Linked DNA regions of Callithrix jacchus. The protein of the gene in region 2 interacts with the protein of the main gene of each other region in a biochemical or structural test. Links are inferred from orthologs where the notes say so. Each region holds a gene or a part of one and is shown on either strand. Other genes may lie near its edges.

The links. The genes of interacting proteins can lie anywhere in the genome.
Region 1: of the proteins of KLHL12 (region 2) and DRD4, one has a biochemical effect on the other in vitro, tested with the Homo sapiens proteins (2 studies listed by BioGRID, with this or other methods). The link is inferred for Callithrix jacchus from reciprocal best matches to the Homo sapiens genes KLHL12 and DRD4.

The regions. Positions count from the first base shown.
Region 1 is NC_133511.1:131,255,623-131,265,577, reverse strand, and holds DRD4 (D(4) dopamine receptor), read left to right. Parts: upstream 1-3,635; 5' UTR 3,636-3,676; coding exon 3,677-3,937; intron 3,938-5,717; coding exon 5,718-5,830; intron 5,831-5,933; coding exon 5,934-6,906; 3' UTR 6,907-6,927; downstream 6,928-9,955. Other genes in the region: DEAF1 (deformed epidermal autoregulatory factor 1 homolog), read right to left, coding at 9,296-9,400. UniProt on the Homo sapiens protein: Dopamine receptor responsible for neuronal signaling in the mesolimbic system of the brain, an area of the brain that regulates emotion and complex behavior.
Region 2 is NC_133520.1:29,961,500-29,970,746, forward strand, and holds part of KLHL12 (kelch-like protein 12), read right to left. Parts: intron 8,414-9,247; exon of another isoform or gene 7,854-8,413; coding exon of another isoform or gene 7,734-7,853; intron 6,076-7,733; coding exon 5,845-6,075; intron 233-5,844; coding exon 79-232; intron 1-78. UniProt on the Homo sapiens protein: Substrate-specific adapter of a BCR (BTB-CUL3-RBX1) E3 ubiquitin ligase complex that acts as a negative regulator of Wnt signaling pathway and ER-Golgi transport.

The DNA of each region.
Region 1 (9,955 bases), on a different chromosome or scaffold from region 2:
GCCCCGCAGGTCCCGTTTTCCGGCGCTCTGCGTGTACAGTTACGAGGATTTGCTGGTGACGGTAATTCCGTGTTCAACACTCACCCCACGTTTCCCGCGGCAGCTCCGCAGACGGCACCTCCCAGCCGTGCAGCAAGGGCGGGGCTCGTCGTTTTCTGGGTTTTGCTGCCGTCGCGATCCGTGGGTGCCACTGCGCGCTTGAGTTCATCTCCCTAATGACCCGCGCTGTGGAGCATCTTGTCCAGCGTCTGTGACCCATTTATACACCGTGGACTGAGTGGAAGGGAAACGCCGTCAGGCCCTTTGATTTTCCACGAGACTCGAGTGCTTTTTCTTTTTTCTTTTATTTTTATTTATTTATTTATTTATTTTTGAGACGGAGTTTCGCTCTTGTTTCCCAGGCTGGAGTGCAATGGCGCGATCTCGGCTCACCGCAACCTCCGCCTCCTGGGTTCAGGCAATTCTCCTGCCTCAGCCTCCTGAGTAGCTGGGATTACAGGCACGCGCCACCATGCCCAGCTAATTTTTTGTATTTTTAGTAGAGACGGGGTTTCACCATGTTGACCAGGATGGTCTCGATCTCTTGACCTCGTGATCCACCCGCCTCGGCCTCCCAAAGTGCGGGGATTACAGGCTTGAGCCACTGCGCCTGGCCTTTTTTTTTTTTTTTTTGAGACAGCCTCGCTCTGTTGCCCAGGCTGGAGTGCAGTGGGGCCATCTCGGCTCCCTGCAACCTCTGCCTCCCGGGTTCAAGCAATTGTCACACCTTGGTCCCCCAGGTAGCTGGGATTACATGCGTGCACCGTCGTGCCCGGCTAATTTTTGTATTTTTAGCAGAGACGGTATTTCACCCTGTTGGCCAGGCTGGTCTGAGACTCCTGACCTCAGGTGATCCGCCCGCCCTGGCCTCACTTTCTCCGCACACTGTCACTCGAAGTCGCTGCAGCCGCTATGTTTAGCTTCCGCGGTTCTGGCTGCGAGGCTGCTCCTTGCTGTGGTCTCGGTTGCATTTCCCCAATGGCTGGGACACAACCTCTTTCCAGGCGCTTATGTCCATTGGCAGCTTGTTGTGGGTTAAATGTGGCTTCACGTCTCTTGCCCATTTTTAAATTGTTCTCTACAGCTGAGTTTATTTTTATCGTGAGAAAATACGCACAACGTGAAACTTAGCATTTTAGCCATTTTGAAGTATAAACCGATACTCCGCACAGTCACGAAGTCGTACAGCCACCACTGCTGTTTCCTTCCAGAACTTTCTACTCCCCAGATGGAAAACTTCTGAGTAACGGGGTTTACGGGTGTGCGCCACCCACCGCATCCCCCAGGCTGGAGTGCGCTGACTAGATCTCGGCTCACCGCAGCCTCCGCCTCCCAGGTTCAAGCGATTCTCCAGCCTCAGCCTCCCTAGTGGCTGGGATTACAGGCACCGGCCACCATGCCTGGTTAATGTTCGTATTTTTAGTAGAGATGGGGTTTCACCACGTTGCCCAGGCTGGTCTCAAATTCCTGACCTCAGGTGATCCACCCACCTCAGCCTCTCAAAGTGCTGGGATCACAGGTGTGAGCCGCTGTGCCTGGCCATTTATTTTTGTATCGTCAGCGGAGAGGGGGTTTCGCTATGTTGGCCAGGCTGGTCTCGAACTCTTGGCCTCAAGCAATCCACTCACCTTGGCCTCCCAAAGAGCTGGGATTACAGGCCTGAGCCGCGGTGCCCCGCCCCTTTTGCATATCGTGGATAGTGCTGCTGTGAACATTTACAGACAAGCCTTTGTTTGAACACCTGTTTTCACTTGTTTTTGGTCTGTAACACATGCCCGCTGAGTCGCATGAAACTGTGTGTGTACCTTGATGCGGAACTGCTCAGCTTTCCCCCGCAGCGAGCACAGCACTTCGCACGGCGCCGGCAGTGAGCTTTCCCCTCCGTACATTTATTTCTATTTATTTTATATTATCGCCATTCTAATGGGTAGGCAATGGCATCTTATTGTAGTTTTGATTTGCATTTCCCCAGTGACTAAGGGCGACGAGGATCTTTTCAAGCACTTCTTGGTCATTTGTGTGTGTCTGTGTGTGTGTGTGTGTGTGTGTGTGTGTGTGTGTGTATATATATATATTTTTTTTTTTTTTTTTTGAGACAGAGTTTCGCTCTTGTTGCCCAGGCTGGAGTGCAATGGCGCGATCTCGGCTCACTGCAACCTCCGCCTCCTGGGTTCAGGCAATTCTCCTGCCTCAGCCTCCTGAGTAGCTGGGACTACAGGCACGCGCCACCGTGCCCAGCTAATTTTTTGTATTTTTAGTAGAGACGGGGTTTCACCATGTTGAGCAGGAAGGTCTCGATCTCTCGACCTCTGATTCACCCGCCTCGGCCTCCCAAAGTGCTGGGATTACAGGCGTGAGCCACCGTGCCCGGCCAGTTTGTCATTGTTTCAAAAGCGATCTCTGTATGCTGCATCTGCTGTACCAGAGATGGGTGCTACAACCCCCTTTCCCGCCTAGCTTTCTTTTCACTGTCTTGATGGTGGCAGACATCTTGGGGGCCAGCTTGGCTGTCTGCACCATAGCTAGATGCCTGCCCACACCTGCCTGGAGCAGCCCGTTCCCCTACAGACCCCAAGACCTTGCCTGTGACTCTCCAGTGCCTGCTTCTCAGCGTCCTCACTTCTCCCGTCAGTGCCTCCACCTGGCCTATGTCCCCCATACCTTTGAGGTCAGGATCCTCAATTCCTGGCACTGCTGCTCCCAGAAACAAAGACACGAGGGTTGGGACGTGCATGGCCCGGAGTCCCGCACAGTGGTGCCGCCTGTAGTGCCTCTAACCCCCTTTAGTGGAAGGCTGCAGAAAACACCGCTCAGTTCAGGTGTCACCCCGATTTTATGAAGTCCACAAACCTCTCTCTGCGCTTTGCAAGCACTTTCTCTTCCGAACGTTTGGAACCCGCCAGGGCCGGCTTCTCCTTCCAGCTGCCTCCTCGAGGACTGAACCTACGGTCGGTGGGGCCGGGACCCCTGCCCAGGGTCCCAGGGGCGCCTACCTGGCTCGGGGTCACGGCCAGAGGAGCCGCGGCCGAGGGTGGTGGTCGCCGGGCGAGGACCAGAGGCTGCTGCGGGCGGGGCGCGGCGTCGGCGGCTGGGTCTGGCGCCGTGTCCGAGGCGGGAGCGGGCGTGGAGGGTGCGCGCAAGGCCAGAGCGAGTCCGCGGGGCAGGCGGAGCTTGGGTCTTCCAGCGTCTGGCGAGACCGGCCCGGCCCGGGAAGGACGTTTTCCCAGAAGCCAAGTGAACTGGGCGGGGTGCGCGGGTCGGCGCTGGGTCGATGCCCGCATTTAGGGGCCGGGTCTGGCCGCCTCTCCATCCCTGTCGGGTTATCGGGGTGCAGACCCGCGCGTCCCCGCCGACCCCGCGGGACAACCACCTCGCTTAATTCCCGTCCCTTTGGGCCGTCGCATTCGTCCACCTGCCCGTCTTTCCCTGCGCATAATTCCACGATGAGCAGATACTGGGCGCGGGCGCACGGTGGAGCGCCGCAGGGACCCCCCACTTCCCCCCGCGCCCCCAGGAGCTGGGTCGGGGGCGGGACCAGGGCCTGGCGGGGCGTGCCCGAGGGGAGGGACTCCCGGGCTGGGTGCCCGGCGCTGTCCGTGGCGCTCAGCGCCCGCGGGGCGCGTGAGGCCCGCACGCCATGGGGAACCGCAGCGCCGCGGACGCGGGCGGGCTGCTGGCGGGGCGCGGGCCGGGAGCGGGGCTGGCGGGGCCGGGTGCGGCGGCGCTGGTGGGGGGCGTGCTGCTCATCGGCGCGGTGCTCGCGGGGAACTCGCTCGTGTGCGTGAGCGTGGCCACCGAGCGCGCCCTGCAGACGCCCACCAACTCCTTCATCGTGAGCCTGGCGGCCGCCGACCTCCTGCTCGCGCTCCTGGTGCTGCCGCTGTTCGTCTACTCTGAGGTGAGCCGCGTCCGCGCCCGATCCCTTGTTCCCGGTCCCTGTCCCCGCGGAGGACCCGGCGCGACCCGGCCCCTTTCTGCTCTGGAGCTTCCAGCCCGGGCGGCGGCAGCTGCGCTCCGCCTGTTCCCACCACCGCCCCCTCGGGCCCTCCCACCCGCTGCGCTGTCCGTCCCGGACCCTCGTTCCACTCCTCCCTTCCCCCTCTGTGTTGGTGTCTGCTACCCAGGACATGCCCCGTCCTTGGATCCAGGGACCCCAGAAACAGACGACTTTGTCAAGCCCAGCCCCCTCCATAGCTGGATTTCACCCCCAGGGAAACCAGCTGGACAGACAGGCTCAGCCCCCTGGATGCCCTGGGACATGGACACAACACACACCGCGCACACACACACCTGCAAACACACTGCACTCGGCCACAGCCACTGCCCACCACGCACACCCAGTGCAGACACTTGCACACCCCCACAAGGAGGCTCAGCTTGCAGGGGAGCAGGGGAGGCCTGGGCTGGACAGAATCCAGGGGAGGGGAGGGTGTGTGGGGGCCAGGACCCTGCTGAGAACCCTGGGGGATGAGAGAGAATTGGGGGATGGAGCCCACACCCCACACCAGGTCTGGCCCTGGAGTGGGTCGGCCTCGGTGCCAGCCCCTCTGCTGCCAGAGAAAAGCAGCTTAGGGCTGAGCTGGGGACGCGGTGTCCTGGACTATGGGGGAGGGGGACTGGGGTTTCCCCTCGGTGGCCACGGTGAGTCCTGGCGGCTGGGGCAGGGACCAGCAGCGCCAGACACGCATGACCTGTGCTCCTTTCGAGCCACAGACGTCACAGTGACGACGCTTAAGCTTATAATCTTCCCAAATCGGCGGGAAGGGATTAGGGGGACTACCTGCCCCTTTGCCCTTGGAGAGTAACTCCGTGTGGAGTACCACGCTGGGCATTGGGCGAGGTCGACACATTTTTTAAAACTAATTTATCTTTAAGACAATCGTCATGTGGATACTGCCATCACCCTTGTTACAGACGAGGAAGCAGAAACGAAGTAACCACCCGAACCTCCCGCACTGAGCCTCACCAGACAGTCTGGCTGGCGGTCTGAGGCTGGTCTGAGGCTGGTCAGCAGCCAGCTTCACGTTGCAGGCCCAGCGGGGACTCTGCCTACCCCAGGCTGGGCAGAGGGCTCTCCTTGAGCCCCATGACATCAGGCCCCGCCCCCAGGCCTTTCTCATGTTTGTAACAAGAGGGAGACCAAGTCCAGGAGAGTGACTCACGCCTGTAATCCCAGCACTTTGGAGGCCAAGGCAGGAGGATCACTGGAGCCCAGGAGTTTGAGACCAGCCCGGGAAACATACCAGACCCCGTCTGTACAAAAAGTTAAACAGGCAGGGCGCGGCGGCTCATGCCCGTAATCCCAGCACTTTGGGTGGCAAAGGAGGTGGATCAGGAGGTCAGGAGTTCGAGAGTAGCCTGGCCAACATGGTGAAACCGCGTCTCTCCTAAAAGTACAAAAATGAGTTGGGGGTGGTGGTGCACACCTGTAGTTCCAGCTACTCTGGATACTGAAGTGGGAAGATCACTTGATCCCAGAGTTCCAGGCTACAGTGAGTCACTGCACTCCAGCCTGGGCGACAGAAAGAAACCCCCACTGGAAAAAAAAAAAAAAAAAAAAGGGCGACGTGAGTGGGGGAGGTGGTGTTTCGGGCCCGGCAGTGGCTGTGAGGGTCCCTGGCCGCGCAGCGCGAGAAACCTCAGGTCTCGTGTTGCTGCGCCCTCGGTGTCCCGTGCAGGTGCAGGGCGGCGCGTGGCTGCTGAGCCCTCGCCTGTGCGACGCTCTCATGGCCATGGACGTCATGCTGTGCACCGCTTCCATCTTCAACCTGTGCGCCATCAGCGTGGACAGGTGCGCCGCCCTCCCCGCCCGCGCCCCCGCACCCCTCCCGCCGTCGCCGCCGCCCTCACCGCGGCCTTCGCGCTGTCCCGCGCCCCCTCGGCGCTCCCCACAGGTTCGTGGCCGTGGCCGTGCCGCTGAGCTACAACCGCCAGGGTGGGAGCCGCCGGCAGCTGCTGCTCATCGGCGCCACGTGGCTGCTGTCCGCGGCGGTGGCGGCGCCGGTGCTGTGCGGCCTCAATGACGTGCGCGGCCGCGACCCCGCCGTGTGCCGCCTGGAGGACCGCGACTACGTGGTCTACTCGTCTGTGTGCTCCTTCTTCCTGCCCTGCCCGCTCATGCTGCTGCTCTACTGGGCCACGTTCCGCGGCCTGCGGCGCTGGGAGGTGACCCGTCGCGCCAAGCTGCACCGCCGCGCGCCACGCCGGCCCAGCTGCCCCCGCCCGCCTTACCCGGCGACCGGCCTCCCCGAGGACCCCTGCGGCCCCGACTGCGCGCCCCCCGCGCCCGGCCTCCACCAGGGCCCCTGCGGCCCGGACTGCGCGCCCCCCGCCCCCGGCCTCCGCCAGAACCCGCGTGGCCCCATCTGTGCGCCCTACGACAACGTCCAGGCCACTGAGCTCCCACCCCAGACCCCGCCGCAGACCCGCAGGAGGAGGCGTGCCAAGATCACCGGCCGGGAGCGCAAGGCCATGAGGGTCCTGCCGGTGGTGGTCGGTGGGTTCCCATTTTGGGGGACGGCGGGGGGAAAGGAGAGGAGTACAGGGCACAGAGGGCGGGGGGGCGCTGACGCGGCTCTCGGCGCCCCCAGGGGCCTTCCTGCTGTGCTGGACGCCCTTCTTCGTGGTGCACATCACGCAGGCGCTGTGTCCCGCCTGCTCCGTGCCCCCACGGCTGGTCAGCGCCGTCACTTGGCTGGGCTACGTCAACAGCGCCCTGAACCCCGTCATCTACACGGTCTTCAACGCCGAGTTCCGCAACGTCTTCCGCAAGGCCCTGCGTGCCTGCTGCTGAGCCGGGCACCGCCCCGCAGGCTGGGCGCCGCGCCCCAGGGACCAAGGAGATGGGAGGGCGGCTTTGTACGTTAATTAAACAAATTCCTTCCCAAACTCAGCTGTGAAGGTTCCTGGGGGTTGTGGGGAAAAGGGAGGAGGGGCTTCTGCCTCAGTTGCCCCAGACCCCCCAGCCAGTTAACCCCTTCCTTCCCGCCGAGGAGGCCCACAGACACCCCACTATCAGGCCCACTCAGTTTGCAGCGCCCTGGCCCAGCCTCCCCCTCTATGCAAGGGAGAGGAGGGAGGGGAGAGGAAATAGCATTCAGGAAGGCAAGGTGTCTCCTGGGCAGCCCAGTCCCAATGGGAAGAAATCAGCCACCAGGTCCTGCCCAGACCAACTCCCGCCTTAGCAGACCAGGCACAGGAGGCTCCAGACTCTGTCCCACAGAACCCCACAGGGGTGCTCAACCCATCATTTTAGAAGCTGCCTTGAGGCTGGGGCACAGCTTCCTGCCAGTCCCTGGGCGAGGATGCCCCAAGCCCCACAGGAAGGGGCCTGTGGTGCTGGGTGGGGCCCACCAAGGAGCTTCCCTGGAGGGGGCTCCATGCTCAGTCACCCTGGTGCCCAGCCAACCGCTGCCCAGCGTCCATACATGTGGGGGGGCCAAGGGGTGGGAGCAGGGAGGATTCAGCAGGGCGAGGGTGGGCAGTGGGGAGGGAATGGGCAGAGTGGGGGAAGGAATGGGCAGAGTGGGGAGGGAATGGGCAGAGCGGGGCTGGGATGGGCAGAGCAGAGCCAGGGGTAGACAGAGCCACCCAAGCTTCCTGTCTGCATTGGGCTGCCTGGCTCCCTCAACCATAGCGCAGCCCCCGACCCTGGGAGAGGCGGGGTGGCTCCCAGGGGCCTCCATGCAGGAACAGCCCACCCTGGACTGGATCCAGCTCTCTCCCAGACCCAGGCTATGGGAGAAAAGGGGGGGCCCTTCGCCTCCCAGTCCTGCTGGCTGGACCTTTCCTGTGCTGGGGATGCGGCTTCTGAGCCAGGGCAGCTGGCCGGGGTGCTGAGCTCCCATGGGAACAGAGACTCCAGGCTGTGCAGTCTACAGCGTGAGGCACTCCCTCAGCTTGCTAAACAGTCCGTGCAGGCTGCAGGCGGTGGTCACACCTGTAATCCCAGCTACTCGGGAGGCTGAGGCGGAAGGATCCCTTGAGGCTGGGAGGTTGAAGCTGCAGTGAGCTGAGATTGCGCCACTGCACTCCAGCCTGGGTGACAGAGTGAGACTCAGTCTCGAAAAAAAAAAAAGAAAAAAAAATCAGAATAAACCACTCGGTCCCAAGACACCCACAGACTCAAAAGACGGGGCCTCTGTGGAGCCCATAGCCGGTGAGCCTCTCCCCGAGCACAGCACCTTCCAGGGTGCTCATGCCCAGCTGGGGCAGAAAGCGCTTCAGAAGACAGCATCAGAACCGCTGGCGCAGGTGCCTCCCGGCGCTGCTGACCCACCCCGGTGCCCGCTGAGCTGTTGCTGGATCTGCACTTTCCTGCCTCAGGGCAGCGACAGCTGTGGAGCCTTCTGCGTGCAGGGAACACAGGCCACGAGGGAAGAGGTTTCCAGAACAAGAGTAATGCTGCTCCAGCAGGGCAGGTGGGTCCCATGTCCAGGCCCAGCCCAGCAGCTAAACATGCAGGATGCACCTGGTGCCCCCCGCAGCCTTCAGCCCCTTCTCTCTCCTCCACCTGGTACCAGGGCCATGAGAAACAAGGAGACCAGGAGGACATGAGGCTGTGCGTGTGGAGGCCGGACCGAGGCCACCGCGCTGTCCACGTGATGAGGCTGTGCGTGTGGAGGCCTGACTGAGGCCACTGAGGTGTCCACATGTGCTAAACAGGCTACGCTGGGTCCTTGGGCTCACTCAGTCAGCCTGGGCACAGGAGGGCACCATGTGCCCCGAAGCCTGGCGTGACGCTCCCAGCAGCTGCGAGGCTCTTGTGGAACAGAAGGAATGAAGACTCTCCTGGACTACACGTGCCAGCCACTGGGCACCACACTTTGGCCGGTCACACTTCCCCATGCACTGGAGGTGTGGTGGACTCAGGCTGCCCACCTGCGTGGGCAGGAGGAAGGAGCCATCCCAGAGGGCTGGCACTGAAACTGGCCGCGTGGGAAGGGAGGCCTTATTTACACTTTATTGACAGACACACACGTATGTACATGCGTCACAGCACACGCCCGTGGGCAAGACCGGACGCTCATGATCCTGGGGCTAAAAGTCTCTCCTGGAGCGGGCAGGGGCCCAGGCGGGGGGAGTCCGCTCCCCAGGGCACCATTACGTAAAGTTTCTTAATAACTTGTCCAGCAAGTTTCCTCACCTTCCCACACCCTCTTCTCAACGCCCCCCGAGAGTCCTTGCGGGGACTTCCACCTGCAAAAGCCTCGCAGGAGTGCAAGGGCGTCCAGCTCACAGGGCGGCTGGGGGAGCCTCACACGGTCACCTTCTCCATCACGCTCTCAGCCACGTGGACTTCGTCTGCCTGCACCGTGACAGCTGCTGACTGGCCACACATGTGCTGGTGATCTTTCCAGTCCTGGAAGGGAGGACACATCCACGTCAGCAAGGTCAGGGGGTGGAGCAGGGCCTTTAAGTGGGACCTGGGCAGGGTCCCCGAGGTGGACCCCAGGCCCCCAACCCTAGCGGCTGCAGCCACGTGTGAGCTCACAGGGGTGCTGAGAGAATGCCCTCCCCAGCCCCGTGCACCTGCACTAGTGGCCTCTGCTCCAATCCTGCCTTCCCACTCTCTTGGTTTGAATCTCTTGGTTGGATCAAAAGGCAAGCAAGAGGCCGGCGTGGTGCTCACCCTGCAATCCCAGCGCTCTAGGAGGCTGAGGTGTGCGGATCACCTGAGGTCAGGAGTTCAAGACCAGCCTGGCCAACATGGTGAAACTCCATCTCTACTAAAAATACAAAAATTAGTCAGGCGTGGTGGCAGGCACCTGTAATCCCAGCTATTTGGGAGGCTGAGGCAGGAGAACGCTTTGAACCCGGGAAGCAGAGACTGTAGTGAGCCGAGAGATAGTGCCACTGCACTCCCGCTGGGGTGACAGAGCGAGTCTCCATATCAAAAAAAAGGGCAAACAACAAA
Region 2 (9,247 bases):
TGGTCACGATTAAGTTTACACTATTAATTTTCAACCTTTCCAGGGCTATTTTGACATAGCAAGTTTTAATGTCTATACCTTTCAACTGAAGCAGACAGGCTGCAGGGAGTAGTTCTTGCACATTCTCCACCGTCACATGTACTGTTTCTGTGTACACAAAGTCCAATAAAATTTCCATAGTAGAGGCAGTCAAACCTTGGATGTCAACATAAGGCTTGCCCTTCTCTGAAAGCTGAAAATGTAAAAGGTATAAAAGAATGATGGTTATAATTCCACAAGATAAAGGCACAATCTCATATCTAAGAGCTTACAGATGTTAATAATATTAATTGAACATATATCTTTAAAAATTAAGGGCCAGGAGTGGTGGCTCACACCTGTAATCCTAGCACTTTGGGAGGCCTAGGCAGGCAGATCACTTGAGGTGAGGAATTCAAGACCAGCCTGGAAAACATGATGAAACTCCAACTCCACTAGAAATACAAAAATGAGTTGGGCGTGGTGGTACATGCCTATAGTCCCAGGTACTCAGGAGGCTGAGGCAGGAGAATTGCTTGCTTCAACCTGGGAGGTGGAGGTTGCAGTAAGCCCAGATTGTGCCACTGCACTCCAGCCTGGGCACCAGTGAGATTCTTTCAAAAAAATTTAAAAATTAAAAAAATAGGCCAGGCGCGGTGGCTCAAGCCTGTAATCCCAGCACTTTGGGAGGCCGAGGCGGGTGGATCACGAGGTCAAGAGATCGAGACCATCCTGGTCAACCTGGTGAAACCCAGTCTCTACGAAAAATACAGAAAATTAGCTGGGCATGGGGGCGCACGCCTGTAATCCCAGCTGCTCGGGAGGCTGAGGCAGGAGAATTGCCTGAACCCAGGAGGCAGAGGTTGCGGTGAGCCGAGATCGTGCCATTGCACTCCAGCCTGGGTAACAAGAGCGAAACTCCGTCTCAAAAAAATAAATAAATAAATAAATAAAAATAAAAATTATGACCTGTTTTGTTGGATTTGAATAAAGCAAATATGTCACATGTCTGTAGCTTTCCAAATGAAATGGGCAGTTATCTATACCCTCGGAGTAAATAATATGTGACACCTTCCTAGAATAGCAATGTTGCCAGTGAATAACTTTAAAAATCAATTTCATATTAAAATACAGACATAGGCCAGGCATGGTGGCTCACACCTGTAATCCTAGCACTTTGGGAGGCCAAGATGGCGGATCACAAGGTCTGAAGTTCAAGACTAGTCTGGCCAATATAGTGAAACCCCATCTCTACTAAAAATACCAAAAAAAAAAGTATCACAGAATAGAATGCAAAACTTCCATGAATATAACACTAGTCCATCAACTTTTAAGATAAAACACAAAATTTCTTTTCTTTGTCTTTGAGACAGAGTTTCACTCTTGTTGCCCAGGTTGGAGTACAATGACACATCTTGGCTTACCACAACCTCCACCTCCCGGGTTCAAGCCATTCTCCTGCCTCAGGTGCCGAAGTAGCTAGGATTAGACGCATGCACCACCATGCCCTGCTAATTCTGTAGAGACAGGGTTTCTTTATGTTGGTCAGGCTGATCTTGAACTCCCGACCTCAGGTGATCCGCCCACCTCAGCCTCCCAAAGTGCTCCCAAAGGCATGAGCCACTGCGCCCAGCTAAGACACAGAATTTCAAAAAAATTTCACATTTGTAGAGGACCTGTGGGTTATAACTCCAGTCTCTCCAGGATTACCTAGTTCCTATCATCTGTCCCTGGACTACATTTTTTTTTTTTTCTGGAGATAGGGTCTCGCTCTGTTGCCCAGGCTAGAGTGCACTGATGCGATCTCGGCAAACTGTACTTCTTCCCAGGTTCAAGTTATTCTCCTGCCTCAGCCTCCCAAGTAGCTAGGATTACAAGAGTACACCACCACACCCAGCTAATTTCTGTTTTGTTTTTTTTTTGAGATGGAGTCTCATTCTGTTGCCCAGGCTGGAGTGCAGTGGCACGATCTTGGCTCACTTCAAGTTCTGCCTCCCAGGTTCAAGCAATTCTCTTTCCTCAGTCTCCTGAGTAGCTGGGACTACAAGGATGTGCCACCACTCCCAGCTAATTTTTATATTTTTAGTAGAGGCAGAGTTTCACTATGTTGCCAGGCTGGTCTCAAAACTCCTGACCTCAAGTGACTGGCCCACCTCAGCCTCCCGAAGTGCTGGGATTATAGGCGTGAGCCCCCGTGCCCAGATAATTTTTGTATTTTTAGTAGAGACAAGGCTTCGCCATGTAGACCAAGCTGATCTTGAACTTCTGACCTCAGGTGATCCACCCACCTCTGCTTACCAAGGTGCTGGGAATACAGGAGGGAGCCACCATGCCTGGCCCTCAGACTACATTTAGTAATGATGAAAAAGAATATGCAGGTCATCCTAAGGGACTTTCTTATGTAACACCATCTGAATACAAATAAAGTGTTTGTTACTTTTTCAAAATATTGTTAGACTAACTGAATTGTTAGTAGTATATCTCCTTGAAGCTGTTGAGTATTGATGAGGCCAGATAATCATAGAAAACTGTTGAGCTAAGAGAAGAAATCTTCAACTTTAAAGGAGAGTAAATTATCTAAAAATACCTTATAAAAATTTTTACTGAATCTTAGTTTAGAAATTTATTTTACTAACAAAAATCTGGTGTACCTCCATTATGAACTAAATTGCTTTATCATGTTTGATTTCTCCGTCAGCCAGAGAATAACCAAAAAGCACTCTCTACAAAGCCAAGAACAAAATCAATCCCTAACAGTAAAAAAAGTCAAGAGCACATTATTTTGAAAAAACATATTAGGTTTTATTAACACTTAATACAGTACTAATATTTATAAACAATTACTGTCCCAACACATTAAATACATTCAATTATGATACTCCCAAAACCTAAAATCCAATAAAAAATTTAAAAAAAAAAATTATGATACTGAAATATGTAAGTACACGTATTCCAGAAATTGAAATTTCTCACTCAATAACCTATATTTCCATCAAATAGTTTAAATATTGATTAGAGCAATAGTACATTTCACATTTATATTTTGCTTTAGAATTTTTCAGTGCTTCTCATTTTCTACTATTTCATCTGATTCTCCCAACAACCTGGTAAGGTAGTTAGATCTGATATTATTACTACTTAAGAGATAAAGGATCTAAGAATCAAAGCAGATATAGGACTTAACCAGAGTCACTCAGCCAGTGAGAGACAGATATCATTGCTATCAAAGTATTTCAGAAAAAAAAAAGAGAGACATAAAACCCAGGTCCTCTTGCCTCAGTCCTGTGATCTTTCAATCAGATGACATTTGAGGAGCATTTCATGGCTGAAGAGAACAAGGAAACCATCTAGTTCAACTACTTTATTTTACAGATCAACCCAGTGAAGTTAGATGGTTGACAGGGTTTATACAGAATTGCTAAGAGAACTAAGCCTAGATTCCAGGTCTCTGGACTCTCTCCTTTAAACCAATTACTCTGAAAAATAAAAACAAAACCATCTGGCATTTTTTTGCCTGATGTCAAGTTTTATTATTATTATTATTATTTTGTCTTTTTGTCTTTTTTCCTTTTTGTAGAGAACGGGGTCTCGCTATATTGCCCAGGCAGGTCTTGAACTCCCGGGCTCAAGCTACCCTCCCGCCTCTGCCTCCCTAAGAGCTGGGATTACAGGCGTGAGCCATAGCGCCCGGCCAGCCTGATGTCAGTTTTTAAAGAAAGAAATCAAAAATGAGAAAAAAAGAATTAATTTCTGAATTAAGAGTAAAGACAGAATATTTTCAAGCTGACAAAAAACAGGATACACAATACATAATTAGCAGTCAACAGTTCTAGTTTATTTGATGCTCAGCAGCTGCTGGGTGACACTCTCTTTACCCAGGTAAATTCCAAATGCTTCTGATGCTCTTGGTATATCCCATGAAGAACAGTATAGGACAGGGATCTACCTTGTTTTATCACACAAGTTCATTTAAAAATTAGCCTGGATTAGCTGGAATGACCTATCAGTTCCTGTTTTCCCTACTAGCCATGTGACTGAGCATCAGCCCATAGTATTTTTAACTATACTGGTTTTAAAAGTAGACTGTAGGATATAAAATTCATACTTCAGAGACTAAGGCAGCATAATAGTTAAAAACCATTCCGGCTTTGGCCAGGTGTGGTGGTTCACACCTATAATCCCAGCACTTTGGGAGGCCAAAGCAGTCGGATCACCTGAGGTTGGGAGTTCAAGACCAGCTTGACCAACATAGAGAAACCATCTATAATAAAAATACAAAATTAGCCAGATGTGGCGGCACATGCCTGTAATCCCAGCTGCTAGGGAGGCTGAGACAGTAGAATTGCTTGAACCTGAGACAGGGAGGTTGCGGTAAGTCAAGATTGCACCATTGCACTCCAGCCTGGGCAACAAGAGCAAAACTCCATCTTAAAAACCAAAATTAAAAAAAAAAAAAAAAGTTTGGACTTTATAAGACAGAAAATATAGAATTAAATTCTACCTTGAGCACTTATAATCCATGGGAGTTTGGGCAAGTGATTTAATATATGAAACCCTGTTCCTTCATTTGTAAAAATGAGATGGTAATAACAACCCCTAGGGTGAGTGAGATATGCACAACAATCACTAGCACAGTACCTGGCCCATAAAAGGTAGTTATTACCATCATAGAATATGCCTCTCCCATCCTGATCCAGTAGCAATATCTTCACTAAGATGATAGAACTAAAAAAAAAAAAAAAAAAAAAAAAATACTTGTGCTTAAAAAGATGTTTAAAAAAGTGTTTTTGTAATAAACTATTTCAGGCATACATATGGGTGTAGATAATATAATAAACAGTGGTGCACCCATGACTGAGCTATGAAAAAAAAAAAAATCAAGGTAATTCATTTAAATCTGCTCTTATAATCAGACTTGGGATCTTGAAAAACAAAGGCTTGCAATGTTCCTTCCTGTGCAGCTTTCTAGGAGCACTGAACACAATATAGCCTTACTCCACATTTCAAGTATTTTGTCAGGCAATTACTAAGCAGTGTTTCTTAATACTTTGTTAGCACTACCTGTATTCTGTCACGTCACCTTTTTCCTAATTCCCTTGGTTAAATGCTTATGAGCTAACATCTTTTTTCAGGTGATGTACTCTATACCTGTACAGCTATTCATTAAAAACTCTTCTTCCTTTCATTTGAAGTTATCCTAAAATCTACACTGATTTTTCTTCACATATTGTTAGGAGGAATGGGGTGAGATCTGAATCCTACTCCTCTCTCCTTCCTTCCTTCTTAGCCCTCTGGTATTCACTTAAGAATTTTTAAACTTTAGAAGGAGAAAAGGCCAGGTGCAGTGGCTTACACCTGTAATGTCAGGTGTGGCCACTTTGGGAGTCCAAGGCAGGAGGAACACTTGAGCCCAGGAGTTCAAGATCAGCCTGGGCAATATATAGTGAGACCCTGTCTTTACAAATAAATAAAATTAGAAACAAAAAAAGGAGAAAAATTGGAAGACAAATTTAAGAAATAGTAAAATACAATAGCTGACATTTGTGCTTTACTACATATTACACCATTCTAAGCACTTCGTAAGTTATTTTATAAGGTAATCTTCACAATAACCTTAATAATCATGTGTTATTACATATTACTATTACCCCTAATTTAAAGATGAGGAAACTAAGGCATAGTCAGGTGGTAGATCTTATCCAGAATCTGCCTACTTAAACATCACACTGTAAAAATTCACAATTATATCACATTTTATTCAGTGAAATTAGACAAGTAGAGTTCAATGGGAGAGTTTCATTTGTGTGGGGCTAACTTACCACTTACCTCACTAGTGAACATGGCACAGAAGTAATCACTACAGGCAGCCAGCACAATCCGATGGGCAGGGAAGTCTTTATGCTCCACTCTCAATGTCACATCACAGAGGGTATTGCTCTTCCTGAGGGAGTTCATTGAATTCAGGATGGATTTAGCATGAGTATTTGTCATTATGTCTTTGGGGGCCATAATGTCACCCAGAAAGTGGTGCAGAGAAACAAAAGGGGTCCTTGGATTCTGCAATTACAAGAGAAAAAAACAATGAGCATATTCAAAAAACTAGGGAAACAACATATTTATTAGCTTTACAAATTGAGAATCTAAGGGGCTTCCTCAGACTCAAACATATACAAGTAGAAGGCACTCCTATACCTGACATAACCACCACTATCTAGCTACTATCTAGTCCATGTAAAAGTTCTCTCTTCTTCCTCCGAATTCCTCTATCATGGAGTGTCCCTACCACTTGACATTTATTATGATGAACGCTGAAATGTAAGTAAACAATCTATGTCCTGTAAATCTTCACAAGGTTCTTGTGTCAAATGATACAATGAAAATATAGGCCGGGTGCAGTGGCTCACGCCTGTAATCCCAGCACTTTGGGAGGCAGAGGCGGACGCATCACGAGGTCAGATCAAGACCAACCTGGCCAATGTGGTGAAACCCCATCTCTACTAAAAATACCAAAAAATTAGCTGGGCATGGTGGCACACACCTGTAAGGCAGGAGAATTGCTTGAACCCAGGAGGCAGAGACTGCAGTGAGCCAAGATTGCACCACTGCACTACAGCCTGGGCAACAGTATGCGACTCTGTCCCAAAAAAAATAATAATAAAATAAAATATAAAATTCCTTAAAGGTATTATATCATTACTATTTAATATCCATAAGTAGATAAGCATTTAGAGGGTGAAGATCCTGCTTTATATGTATGCTTTCTATCCTAGAAGTTGCACAATAAATGCTTAGAATTGAATGCAAAAAAAAAAAGTGTGTATTCAACTTAGAGCAAGAAAGTTCGGTAAAAATGTACTTTTCTAAAGTATGCAAATAATTACGTCTGATGACTTCCAAATATATCTGGATTTCTTCTTAAAGTGAAACTTCAGGCCCAGCCCAGTAGCTCACGCCTGTAATCCCAGGACTTTAGGAAGCTGAGGTGGGCATATCAGTTGAGGTCAGGAGTTCGAGATCAGCCTGACCAACATGATGAAACCCTGTCTCTACTAAAAACACAAAAATTAGCCGGGTGTGGTGGCACATGCCTGTAATCCTAGCTACTGGGAAGGCTGAGGCACGAGAATTGCTTGAACCCAGGAGGCAGTTGAGAATTGCTCCATCGAGTGAGCCTAGATCATGCCACTGCACTCCAGCCTGGGCAACAGAGCGAGAATGCATCAGAAAAAAAATAAATAAATAAAAAATTAAAAACAGCAACAACAACAACAAAAAACCAATTGAGGACCCATTACCTACAATGAACTGTGGAAACCACCCAAGTGGACTTACTTGCTTAAGCTATTGAAGCTCTTCAACAAGAAGGTATTCCTACTCTACATCTGTAAATGTCAATTACTGTTAACGAATCAATATTGGAATCCAAAACTTTCTGAAATGATCCAAGGTTGGGAATCAAACGACGGTCTCTAAAAGTCCACAACTCACAATTTTTCAATAGGAAAAATGAGATCTTAAATTCTCATTTACTTATGTTTATAGTTGGCATTTTACACTACAAGCACCATAGATAATCCCTCCAACAACTCTGCAAGACCAATTTTACAGAAAAGCAGGTGATTCATCAAAGCATATGATGTTTTTCAAGAAGCCTTAAGTCAATTTAATTTCAACTCCAGGGGTGTAAAAAGGGTCCGAAACAAATGTCTATTTACCTTGATGACAATCTGGGAGGGAGGGGGGTTTGTCGTTTCCACATCAAAATGACAGTAACCCTGGTGCAAAGTGGTCTTCCTTCTTGGGGATTCCTGCCTCACCACTCCAAGTCTCAGCATATCCTTCACTCTCACCTTTCTGAAGTGACCTATTTTCTAGAACTTCCGTTAACATCTGAATAGAGGGATTCCACTTCGGGAGATTCGAGGCAGGGGAGGGGCAATACATTCGGGAAAGACTAAATTCTAGAGAAAGAAACGAAGTCCTTCCCCCTGACACCAGCAGGCATACATATGACCAGCACCGCCAGGTGGAGGTATGCGGAGAGATGAGAGGGCGACCGAGGCCAGACGCCCCACGCAGCCTTCCTCCTATCCAGGGCGAGCCTCCGATTCCCTTGCAGGGAGACCAAGGATGGGGGAAGGGCCATAACCCGGAGTTGATGGACAGGAAGGGAAAGACTGACTGCCATCACTTCCGCGCAACTCACCTCAGCTCCCGTGCCCACACAGCCGCGCCGGGCCTGTCCCCAGCCTGTGGGGATAGGGTGGGGCGCAGGGCCAGCAGGCGGCTCACAAGGAGCCGAAGCGCCGCCGCCGCCGCCCAGACCCGGAGGCTCCGGAGGCTCTGGAGCCTTCGGGTCTGGACCCCGCGGCCGCGCGACGTGATGACGCAATGCAGCGTGAGGACCGCCCTCCTCCCGCCGCAGAGTCCGCGTCACGTGATGAGGCGGTGTCACGTGACCTGCCTTATCGGGGGCGGGACTTCTGTAAACTGCTATGAAGCCGAATTAGAAAAAGGTCAGGTGGCCGGGGCGCGGTGGCTCACCCCTGTAATCCCGGCACTTTTGGGAGGCTGAGGCGAGCGGATTACCTGAGCTCAGGAGTTCCAGACCCGCCTGGGCAACACAGCAAAACCCCGTCTCCACCAAAAAATTTAAAAAAAAATTTAGTCCGGCGTGGTGGCCTGCGCCTGTAGTCCCAGCTACTCCGGAGGCTGAGGCAGGAGAATCCCTTGAACCCAGGCAGCAGAGGTTGCCGTGGGCCAGGATCGCCACTGTTATTCACGTCTAATAATACCGAAAATTAAATGCATTTAATATAGAGATTTTCCAAACAGGCTTTGTGTGGGCAACAAGGACATTTTATTTCTCGCTTGGGTGCAAGCGGACCGAATCTGAGAAAGGCGAAGAGAGTAAGGGTGGGAATTGGTTCTATAAGTTGGGGTAATTTTGGGGGGCGAGGGTGTTGCAGAGTAAGATCAGTTACAGTGGTCGGGGGTAGTGGCAAGGAGTATACATGACCACAAGTTCAGTTACAATGGCGGGTTGAGTAAGGCGGAAGAGCAGTTAAGATGGCAGGATGGGGCAAGGAGCATTCACATTATCATAAGAGCAGTTAAGATGGCAGGATGGGGTGAGAGGTATCCACATTTAACATAAGAACAGTTAAGATGGCAGGGTGGGGTGAGGGGCTTGTCCGGGGAAGCTCTGCTGGGCGATTAGGGACAATGG